Caenorhabditis elegans: one gene and its partners. The protein of the gene in region 1 interacts with the protein of each later gene in a pairwise test. Each region holds a gene or a part of one and is shown in the gene's direction. Other genes may lie near its edges. The genes, in order: zyx-1, glh-1 and lim-9.

Region 1 (3,754 bases):
ATAAATATTTTTTCTTTCCATCCTAATTACATTTTTTTTTCTTACCTTTACAGCCATCTACCCCATATTTTCCAAATTTCCAAAACAAAAACACCATAAGCCACCTAAGAATCTAATCCCCTGCGAACTCCTGACAAAGTTCAAAGTTCTATGTGATTCACCTATTACCCTGTTTGCTTGCATAGAATTCCGGTTATTCTAGGCAGAAAGAGGAAGAGTTTCAGGCAGTTAAAATAAGTCGAAAAATACATAGACTCCTCTTTTCAATGTTTGTACACCAACTGTTTTTTGTTTCAATTTTTGTTTCTCACGAATTCCAGCCAAAAGTTTTTTTTCTTAAAATATTTTTTTTCTGTAGAAAAAAAAAAATATTAGGGAATGATCATGATTGCGCCCACGAAACCGCCCATAAAATTCCTGTGAAAAGAGAAGAAGAGAGGGTTGGGCACAACTATACCATCCATAAAACCACAGACTTTTTTTCGCGTCGGTTTTTTTCTTCTTTCCGCTCTTCCAATGTTTTATCGTTGTTTGCATGGCGTTCTGTGCTTCAAAGATGACAGTTTTTTTTGGGGTTGGAAGACTTTTTTGAATACAAAAATTCTTTGAAGTTAAAAACTTCAAAGTTCTCAAAATTTTAATTTTTTAGAATGGTCTAGAATCACATAAATCGAAGTTAATATTGGCTTTAAAATGGGAAAGATCGGCCACAAAACAATTAATTATAAAAAGGATGAAAAGGGGTCTTTTCATTAACTGTAAAAGGCTATTTTAAGATCATCTCTAGCAATAAAGAAAATATATGTTGATGGCCCAGTTTTCCCGTTTTTTTCTAGGCCAAGCCACAAATGACGGACAGTTTTGGGTTAGAAAGATTAAACTTCAATTTTCGTATAAAAAAAGTGCTCCAGAATAAAATTAGGCAAATTTCGGATTTGAAAAAAAAAATTCAAACCGAATGTGATGTCCTAGAACCCGACAAGGCCCACTTGAAAATATGACGTCACAAAAATATTCGTGGCCGAAAAAATAAGAAAACTCGGCTACGCTACAAACATTTTTTTTCTCGAATTGTATGTAGACGACACCTTATAGATTCAATCTGGAAAACTTTTTGAAAAATTTAATTGATGGCCGAGTTATCTGTTTTCTAGGCCACATCACAAATTTGTGCTTGATCTAAATCTGTGCTTTCAAATAGCAATTTAAAAAAAAAATCTGAAATATAAAACGATTAGGTTGAGCCGAAAGTCATGGCCTAGAACCCGAGAAAAATATACGTGGCCGCGAAAATGAGAAAACTCGGCCGCTAACACACATAGGGTAATTTCCTCGAACTCTAAATGATCTATTTAAGATCAAATTGCTAAAATATAAATAATGAGTTTTAGATTTTCTAGGCCACGCTGTGAACTCTAGGTTTTTGTATAATCTCCAACCATAACTTAAATATTGCCGGTCCCTCTCCCCTATAAATTATCAGCCACCAATTTCCTGTCTGCCACGTGGATTTCACACGAAATTTTTGATATCATCTTCCAATAGCAGATGTTGTTGCTTATCTCTTTTCCTCTTTGTTCATCGCTTATCCCTCGTTTTCGCTTTCCTTTTTTTGTAATCTCCCCCCCCCCCCTCCCATATCCTCTCTATTTTTCCTGCCATCAGTCGAATTTTGTGAGCCAAAGTGTAAAATGGGCTCCTGCCGGGATGAAGCGAGAGAGTCGTAAGGATGTGAAGAGACGCCGACGCGGTTCGCCCGGGGTTCCTGTGGCATGCAGCTCCTCGGGGTCCGTCGGAGCCCCCAAGACTCTAAACATACTAAACACCACACCGAGGCGCGCTCTCCAGACATTCTCTATCCATCCAGGTCGCACATCCTAATATGAGTTACCTCTCACCACTTCCTCATTATCCTAGTCAAAGGTATCGTTTTTTTTTCATTTCTTCATGTTTTTGTTGTGTTAAATTGTTTGCTCTGTGTCCTGACCTCCAACATATGTGTCTTTCAGCTTGGGTCGTGCTCGCTCCTTCAGCACTATTCCAGACTCGGCATCCGCTACTGATCTATGGGACCCCCGCCTCCGCCTCCACCACCCCCTCTACTCCCATCCGTAAGTTGAACTGAAATTGCAAAAGAAAATTGGAAAATGTTCTGAAATTTTTTTAGGCCAAAAGTTTGAAAAAAAATCAATGGCGTGGGAGAGAGGTTTAAAAATTATGTATGTTATCCATTACGGTAGCTCGATAAAACCCCCAAAAGCTCAGGGATTGTCAGAATTTCTTATTTCGATTTGATCTTCAAAAAGTGCGGGAGTTGAGACGCAGACATCTCATCTGATTTCGCAGATCTTGCTGACGTCACAATTTTTCTGAAAAAATTCCCGAATTTTTTGTAGATCACAATTTTTCCGAACAAAAAATTCCCGCATTTTTTGTAGATCACAATTTTTCCGAACAAAAAATCCCGCATTTTTTGTAGATCACAATTTTTCCGAACAAAAAATTCCCGCATTTTTTGTAGATCACAATTTTTCCGAACAAAAAATTCCCGCATTTTTGTAGATCAAACTGTAATGAGACATCCTGACATCACGTGGAAATAGACATTTCAAAATTTAAAATCTTGGCTTTTTGGAGGCAGATGGGTTTAATTATCGTTAATTTATTTCTGAACTGCCGGCTCTTAGAGTCGTTCTGAATTCTATTTCACTTCCCACGCTCTAGACAATACCCTTTCTATTAATTCAAAGCACATTTTGCATATGAAGGTAAACGATTTGCATACGGTAATTTATGTGCTCCTTCTAGCACCCCTGGGCATTTAATTATTCTCATTAATCACTTGAAAAACCATAAATTATTGCTAACCATAATCGTAGTGGCAAATTTTTTTTATCCAGCGGAAATGAGGGTTTTTTCGAAAAATAAAGAAAAAAATGACAGAATACATCCCCAATATACCATACATAACAGTAAAAAAAATTATAAAATTTTTGTAAATTTTTTATGATTTTTTTAAAATTTTGCAAAAATAATAAAAAGGGCCGAATGAAATTTAAATTCCCGCGCAACTGAGTGACGTCATTTTCGACATACCGTATATCTTCTATTAATATGGCCTCCCTATTAGACTTGCACTCCCTATTAGTATTGCCCCTCGGAGACCTTCCGAAAATTAGTATTGCACTCCCTATTAGTCTTGCACTCTCTAATAGTCTTGCGTTAACTTTTTTGTATTGCAAACCCGTCTCGCTAATTTCAGGATTTCAACAACATTTTTGCCTATTTTGCAACAGTTTTCACATCATTTCTACGAGATTGAAGTTTTTGAAATTATATGAAAATCAAATTTTCAGAATTTTTACATATGATTCGAGCTTTTTCAGGAAAAAACTAGTAAGCTCAAAGTCAGAAAATGTTCTGAAAATTAGTATTGCACTCCCTAATAGTCTTGCACTCCCTATTAGTATTGCAAGCGGGAAGACCATCGAAAAATAGTATTGCAGCTATATTAATAGAAGAAATACGGTATTTGTGTTTTCCCGCTATATTAGTCTCCATTTTGGCCAATTTCAAAGTTTAATCCAATTTCAGAGTTTTGGCAATTTTCTTTGCAATTATATAGTTTTCTTTACGGAAAAATTTCTGAAAAATTGGAAAATTAAATATGTTTCAAATTATAAAATAAAGAAAAAAAATAAAGAAAAACCCAATTAGTTTGGGCGTGAATGAAAAATTAAAATTTTTTTTAAAT
Region 2 (3,754 bases), on another chromosome or scaffold:
GATTTTCATTATTTTCAGTGGTATTCATATTGTTGTTGCGACACCAGGACGACTATCTGATATGCTTACCAAGAAAATTATAAATTTAGAAGTAAGACATAACTTCAAAGATTTCAAAAATTGCTTCAATTTATTACAGGTTTGCCGTTACTTAGTTCTAGATGAAGCTGATCGAATGCTTGATATGGGATTTGAAGATGAAATTAAATCAATTTTCTATTTCTTCAAAGCTCAACGGCAAACTCTCCTTTTCTCGGCTACGATGCCACGAAAGATTCAATTTTTCGCAAAATCAGCACTGGTCAAACCTATTGTAAGTTTTATTTATGCAATCGAGAAGTTTCAAAAATATAATTTTTTAACCTACTCCCAAAAGTTGTCATTCTTCAATTCTTAAAGAATAATTTTTCAGGAGTTTGTCTGTAAATTATAAATATTTTAGGTCGTAAATGTTGGACGTGCGGGTGCTGCTTCATTGAACGTACTCCAGGAGCTTGAGTTTGTTCGATCAGAAAACAAATTGGTTCGTGTACTTGAATGCCTTCAAAAGACTTCTCCCAAGTAAGATTTTATTTATCAGAAAATAATTAATTTAGAAATATGGCAACGGTTTTATATTTCAGAGTTTTGATTTTTGCCGAAAAGAAAGTTGACGTTGACAATATCTACGAGTACTTGCTTGTAAAAGGAGTTGAAGTTGCTTCAATTCACGGAGGAAAAGATCAAAGTGACCGTCATGCTGGAATTGAGGCATTCCGAAAAAATGAGAAAGATGTACTTGTGGCAACAGATGTTGCATCAAAAGGACTCGATTTCCAAGGAATTGAACATGTTATCAATTTTGACATGCCTGAAGATATTGAGAACTATGGTGAATTTCTTATTTATTTTTCATAATTGAATTTTTATTTTCAGTTCATCGAATTGGTCGTACCGGACGTTCCGGACGGAAAGGTCTCGCAACGACATTTATCAACAAAAAATCGGAGATGTCAGTGCTTTCCGACTTGAAACAATTACTCGCAGAAGCAGGGCAGGAACTTCCAGAATTTCTCAAAATGTTGGCTGGTGACGAGGAGGGAACTGCTCCAGCTGGCACAAATGCGGAAAAGGTAGTTAGAAAACATTTAGAAAATCGGGAAGTTCAACATGTTTTCAGGGATGCGCATACTGCTCCGGTCTGGGTCATCGCATCACAGATTGTCCAAAACTCGCTGGAATCGGAAACAAAACGACGCAAGCATTGGCAAGAGGTGGAGGCGACGATGGTGGTTTCTGATTATTTTATTCATACATTGTATCTCAATCTATTTATTTACTGTTTTCTTGTTTACATTTATAAAAATATTTGTCAGAATTGTACTATTTATTTCATGTTTAAAAAAAGTCTGGATTTCCGAGAAAACATGAAAATAATTAATTGATCGAGTTCATTGAAAAAGAAAAATGAATTAAATGCATTCTCAAAATTCTTTTTTTTAAAGGAGACACCACGGTTTCAAGATCTGATGGGAGTCCGGATCTACGTTTTCCGGATCTACCATTTCCGGATCTACGTTTTCCGGATCTACGTTTTCCGGATCTGGCACCGTGCAAACTCTTAAAACGCTATTTTTTCGAAGAAAAAAGTGACAACGACGCTCCGATGTTACGCGTCGCGTGTTGTTAAGCGTTTCTTCTAGAAGAAAATTTCGAAAAAAGTCGTGCGTTGAAAAGCGTTTTGTGCGTTGGCACGGTGCCAGATCCGGAAAACGTAGATCCGGAAAACGTAGATCCGGAAAACGTAGATCCGGAAATGGTAGATCCGGAAAACGTAGATCCGGAATCCCATCAGATCTTGAAACCGTGGTGCCTCTTAAAGAGTCGATTCTTTAAAGGAACACAGACTTTCACACCGTTTAGGTTTCGCCACGCGCCCCAACTACAGTAACCTCGACACACTCATCTACTAAATTTTGGGACAGTTCCTAATTCTTTTTGCTGTTTTCAACTCAATTTTCTGGAAAAATCTTAATTTTCTGCGAAAATGTCTGATGGTTGGAGTGATAGCGAAAGTGCTGCTAAGGGTGAGTTTTATTTTGAACTTTCCACCGGTTTTATTTTGATTAAAAACTTTATTTCAGCCAAAACTGGATTCGGTAGTGGAGGCGGTTTCGGTGGTGGTAACAATGGAGGATCTGGGTTTGGTGGTGGTAAAAATGGAGGTACTGGATTCGGTGGAGGAAACACTGGCGGATCTGGATTCGGTGGAGGAAACACTGGCGGATCTGGATTCGGTGGAGGAAAGACTGGCGGTTCTGGATTTGGAGGTGGAAATACTTGTGGATCCGGCTTCGGTGGAGGCAGTACAGGAGGATCGCCGTATGGAGGAGCCAGTTCTGGATTCGGTGGTAGTACTGCCACATCTGGATTTGGAAGCGGTGAAAAATCAAGTGCATTTGGAGGATCAGGTGGCTTTGGAGGTAGTGCAACTGGATTCGGAAGTGGAGGAGGATCCTTTGGAGGTGGCAACTCTGGTTTTGGGGAAGGAGGACATGGCGGCGGAGAGAGAAACAATAGTTCGTTTTTTAAATTGACTTTATATAATTACGTTTGTTTCAGATTGTTTCAATTGCCAACAGCCAGGACATCGATCGAGTGACTGTCCAGAGCCGAGAAAGGAAAGAGAGCCGAGAGGTTTTATTTTGATATAACTTTATTGGCAGTAATTTGTTTTATTTTCAGTGTGCTACAATTGCCAGCAACCCGGGCACACCTCTCGTGAATGTACAGAAGAACGCAAGCCGCGTGAGGGTCGCACTGGTGGATTCGGGGGCGGAGCTGGATTTGGAAACAATGGAGGAAATGACGGTTTCGGTGGGGACGGTGGTTTTGGTGGAGGCGAAGAACGTGGTCCAATGAAATGTTTCAACTGTAAAGGCGAGGGACATCGCTCTGCTGAATGTCCGGAGCCACCCCGTGGATGTTTCAATTGTGGCGAGCAAGGTCATCGCTCGAATGAGTGCCCCAATCCAGCCAAGCCAAGGGAAGGTGTTGAAGGAGAAGGACCTAAGGCGACATACGTGCCAGTCGAAGACAACATGGAGGACGTTTTCAACATGCAGAAAATTTCGGAAGGCCTTATGTTCAACAAGTTTTTCGATGCCGAAGTTAAACTGACTTCATCCGAGAAGACTGTCGGTATCAAACCTTGCAAGACATTCGCGGAAGCTAATCTCACGGAGACCATGCAGAAAAACGTTGCTCATGCTGGATACTCCAAGACCACTCCAATTCAGCAATATGCTCTTCCACTTGTTCATCAGGGATATGATATCATGGCTTGTGCTCAAACTGGATCAGGAAAAACCGCTGCATTCCTTCTGCCTATCATGACTCGTCTCATTGACGATAATAATCTGAACACTGCCGGAGAAGGCGGTTGCTATCCCCGTTGCATCATCTTGACTCCAACTCGCGAACTCGCTGATCAAATTTACAACGAGGGAAGAAAGTTTGCTTATCAAACAATGATGGAGATCAAACCAGTTTACGGAGGATTGGCTGTCGGTTATAATAAGGGTCAGATCGAAAAGGGAGCCACGATCATTGTCGGAACTGTCGGAAGAATCAAGCACTTCTGTGAAGAGGGTACCATCAAGCTTGACAAATGCCGCTTCTTTGTTCTTGACGAGGCTGATCGTATGATCGATGCTATGGGATTCGGAACTGACATCGAAACTATTGTCAATTATGACAGTATGCCGAGGAAAGA
Region 3 (3,754 bases), on another chromosome or scaffold:
TAGAAGAAATGGAGGATAAATCAGTCGAGGCAAAGTGAGAACTCTTTTTTTTTTAAATATATTTAAAAAAATTGATTTTCAGGCTAAAGAAATGCGCTCTTCATGGACTCACAAATGATAACCTTCACGTCGTTCATGTTGCTGCAACTGTCATCGGTATGTCGCAAATGAAAATTACGAAGAAGCTGCTTTTTGATCTGAAAGTCATAGAAACCAAAAGTTTATGAATATGCCGCCATGGATGATTTTCTTCGTCAATTGCAAAACCATACAACACATAGAAATGTTCATATTTTGCAGACCGAGTCACCGATCTTGTTCCATCACTTTTGGAAAAGCTTGTCGTCGAACTGAATGGCATCAAGTCGATCACTGATGTTTTGATTGTGGCGGATCGAGGATTCTCTTATACGAGCATTCTTCATCCATTATTGAATGTTCTCGAAAAATTATTCACGAAGATTCCCGAAGAAGTCACCAATTCGCATATTCTCCCTCACTTGAAGATTTTGTCGCCTCGCTTGATGCTACTGATGCTGAAGCACTCGGAAGTCAAGGAATTGTTTATTCCTATCATTAACACCTTGACTTCAATTGCTAGAAGATTCCCAGACAAAAAGCAATCGAGTTTTTCTTCATCAAGCTACTCAATCAAGCAGTCGCTCAAAAAAGTCAAGGATCAGGAGTGTCGGAATAAATTGGTCAGATTGGAAAGCATATGCGAAGATATGCTCTAAATTAGTCTCTGTTAAATATTAAATTCATCCCACCGTTTTGTGTATCATATCGTGAAAAAATACACACGGTTTAATTATTTTTATGTGAATATTTACCAATAAGATCAGTCAACCTGATGCTTATTTGGATTTTTTGGTATTTCATATTTGTTTCTTAAAGTCTGTTGTGAAGTAAAAACTTGATTTTAAATACTACCGTTTTTTTTAGAGTATGATGAATTTAGCTACTTTTAGAAATTCAAGAAGTCTGCTATTTTTCTCTGTTCCCTCTTTAAAATTTTTGAGTTTTGCACTTGTTGCGTAGCAGATGGCTCATCCGATTTGCAAATAGTTACTCGTCTTACTCTCCGTTCGCATTACACAGTAACCCTCCGACCATCTTTTTCTGCTCTTTTTTGTACTTTGTCACGTCATTCGGCTCCTGCTCCGCCTACTCAAAATTTTTATGGTTTTTTTCGAAAGTTTGAGAGAAGTAGTACTCGTTTTTCCGAATTTTTAAAATATTGTTCATTAGTTTTTATTAATTCCAGCTATATGCAGTGCCGGCCAAAAGTTGGTGATTTTTCAACAACAAAAAAAAATCAAAAGTAGCTACTTAAGTAGTAATTTTAAAAAACTTACCAGACAGGATTTTCATTATAACTTTGTCTAGATTTTGCTTTCCTCTGGAAAAAAAGTTGAAGCGGCTGACATCTACAGGAATAGATTTGTATATGTTCTCTTGCAACACATGTTTTTGAATTCTAAAGGCGCGTATGGGTCTCGCCACGTGGGAAACGAGTTTCTGTAACTCATGTCGGTTTACGGGTCACTAAAAGTTGTATCATCATTTTCAAAAATAGAAATTACTGACAAGATTTATTTAGAAAAAATAATTGTGCAATAGCGGCCCGTACATTAATACGAGTTACAGTAACCCGTTGTTCGAATGGCGAGACCATTGCACGTCTACGTAATAACAATTTGGCAGCAATTTAGACAATATTATCAATGTTTTGTCTTTACACAGTTTTTTAATTATTAGTTTTTGAGGTATTGTTTGGTTGAAAAATCACGAGAATAAGTCAAAGACGCATATAATTTGGCCGATATTGTGCTCGCATTTTCCCGATTTTCGTATTCAAGAAAATGGTCAGAAGATCATTTGGAATAGAAGTAGAAAATCTTCAAAATTTTTCTTTTTCTTTTATTTTATTCTATACAAATAGACACTTGAACTAATATAATAAGTACTTAACAGAAGTAGAACTCTTTTCAACTTGGCCCCCTCTCTGTAATATGTCTGACAATGTTGGTCCAAGAGAATTGTCAAATGCATTCAAATATCTTCTTGCCTATCAATTAGATTCGTAAGTTTTTTTTTCACAAAATGGAAAATTGATAGTTATGGATAGATCTCTGAAAAAAAACATCTTAAAATAGTAGATAATACTTTCCACCCAATTTTTTTGAATTCATAAACTTATAAAGGCATATTAGTAGCTTTTGTAAAATGTGTTCGAGAAGTTATTTATTCAATAAAAATGTGTAAAAAACGGTAAACCATTTAGATACCAAAAAAACCAGATCTTGCCATTTTTCTTCTAAAAGACACGACAAAAATTAGGTATTGTCAAGTGTGGGTTACTGTATCTGGATGTTTCTCTCTCTCGGGTATGACCTTTTGTCCAATCATGGAAAGTTCACCAAACTTATTCTGGAGTTATGCATAATTTATTTGTAATATTAAAACTTCAGGAGAGTCATGGTAATAAACTTAAAGTAGAAGAGTTCAAAATTCTCTTCAAAAAAAGTGTTTAGAAACCAGTAAGAACCCTTTCAAACTCTACATTTCTTCCTTCTAAACCCCGCTGTAATCCTTCTGTGATCAATTTTTCAAAATGACTACAAGTGACATAACTGCCAGTTTTAAGGCACACTTTTCTGCAATCTTCCGGAAGAAGATGTTCGAGACTTATTTGTTCTTTCAAATCGACTGGCCAATATCATTTATACAATTTAATGTGGAACGTCGCCTATAAGAAAATTGTTTGAAACCAATTAATTCGTTGCTAAAATGTAAAAAGCTTTGAAAGATATTTTTATTTGCAGTCGAAAAGTGGAAATTTTTTTACCAATAAATTTCCGTCAAAATTTAGCGATTCACCAATACTTTGACAGAAATTTTTGAACGACCTAAAGTTTTTTGAAGCGTTTAATTATTTTTTAAAGTCATGTTGGAGTGTATTTGTAGCACATATCCCGGAGTACTTTTTGGGGTACACAATTTATATTTCTCGATATATAACTATGCAACACAAATAGAGTACCTAATCAATTGAAGATCAATTGATATATATGCCATATTCGGGAAGTGTGTGTGAATCTCTGAGTCTCTCAAATCCAAATGATATTTCTCATTTCATAATATATTTTCTCATTATCTTGTTGTCATTATCCACTATCTTCATAATCCAATCGTCTCTTCCTTCAAAAAGTGAAAATAAACATAAAATTGGCAATTTTCGATATGATCATGAAGTGACCACACCCTGGCTTTCCTTTAATAGTGACACACAATTTGAGAAATTAAATGTTTTTTGAACGAATTTCTCAAATTTCTGTTCTTGTTTTTGAACCCTCGTGATTTTCATTTTATTTATTGATTTTCAATTTCAAAACTAGTCGATTTTTTTATTGCATTGCAAAAATAATTTCTCCAATTAAAAACAAATTACCACTTGCAAATTAAATTATAATTCTGATAGAACATTTTTGGCTTTGAATTAAAAACTAGAAAATATTTTGACACTTTGAAAGTAATATTGCCTATTTCCTTTTTCAATTTCATACCTATTTTGAGAGAGCTTACGATAAGTTTTAGTCGAAAATTGAAAGTTAATTGCAAACAGCAGAAACATGTTTTAATGTTTAGCCATTCACTTTATTGGAAAATGTTTTAAATTATTTAATTTTCAGAATCGCTCAAGACGGAGTAATGCCATCTGCTCATGGAGCTCTTCACAAATTATTGTGCT

The links.
Region 2: the proteins of zyx-1 (region 1) and glh-1 interact in a two-hybrid assay, tested with the Caenorhabditis elegans proteins (one study listed by BioGRID).
Region 3: the proteins of zyx-1 (region 1) and lim-9 interact in a two-hybrid assay, tested with the Caenorhabditis elegans proteins (one study listed by BioGRID).

Annotation. Positions count from the first base shown.
Region 1 is NC_003280.10:13,055,086-13,058,839, forward strand, and holds the start of zyx-1 (Zyxin), read left to right. Parts: upstream 1-2,066; coding exon 2,067-2,111; intron 2,112-3,713; exon of another isoform or gene 3,714-3,734; intron 3,735-3,754. Other genes in the region: azyx-1 (Alternative N-terminal open reading frame of ZYX-1), read left to right, coding at 1,883-1,923, 2,010-2,111. UniProt on the Caenorhabditis elegans protein: Functions both as a mechanical stabilizer (via LIM domains) of focal adhesions, and as a sensor component for muscle cell damage (via N-terminus).
Region 2 is NC_003279.8:6,852,786-6,856,539, forward strand, and holds the start of glh-1 (ATP-dependent RNA helicase glh-1), read left to right. Parts: upstream 1-1,692; 5' UTR 1,693-2,026; coding exon 2,027-2,066; intron 2,067-2,123; coding exon 2,124-2,558; intron 2,559-2,601; coding exon 2,602-2,676; intron 2,677-2,724; coding exon 2,725-3,754. Other genes in the region: sacy-1 (RNA helicase), read left to right, coding at 19-91, 140-313, 443-561, 624-871, 916-1,112, 1,160-1,279. UniProt on the Caenorhabditis elegans protein: Probable ATP-binding RNA helicase. May act redundantly with the P-granule component glh-4 to regulate the formation of the granular structure of P-granules in embryos. Plays a role in positively regulating the localization of pgl-1 to P-granules.
Region 3 is NC_003279.8:9,218,990-9,222,743, reverse strand, and holds the start of lim-9 (Protein espinas), read left to right. Parts: upstream 1-2,015; coding exon 2,016-2,086; intron 2,087-3,695; coding exon 3,696-3,754. Other genes in the region: aspm-1 (Calponin-homology (CH) domain-containing protein), read left to right, coding at 1-34, 83-156, 301-737.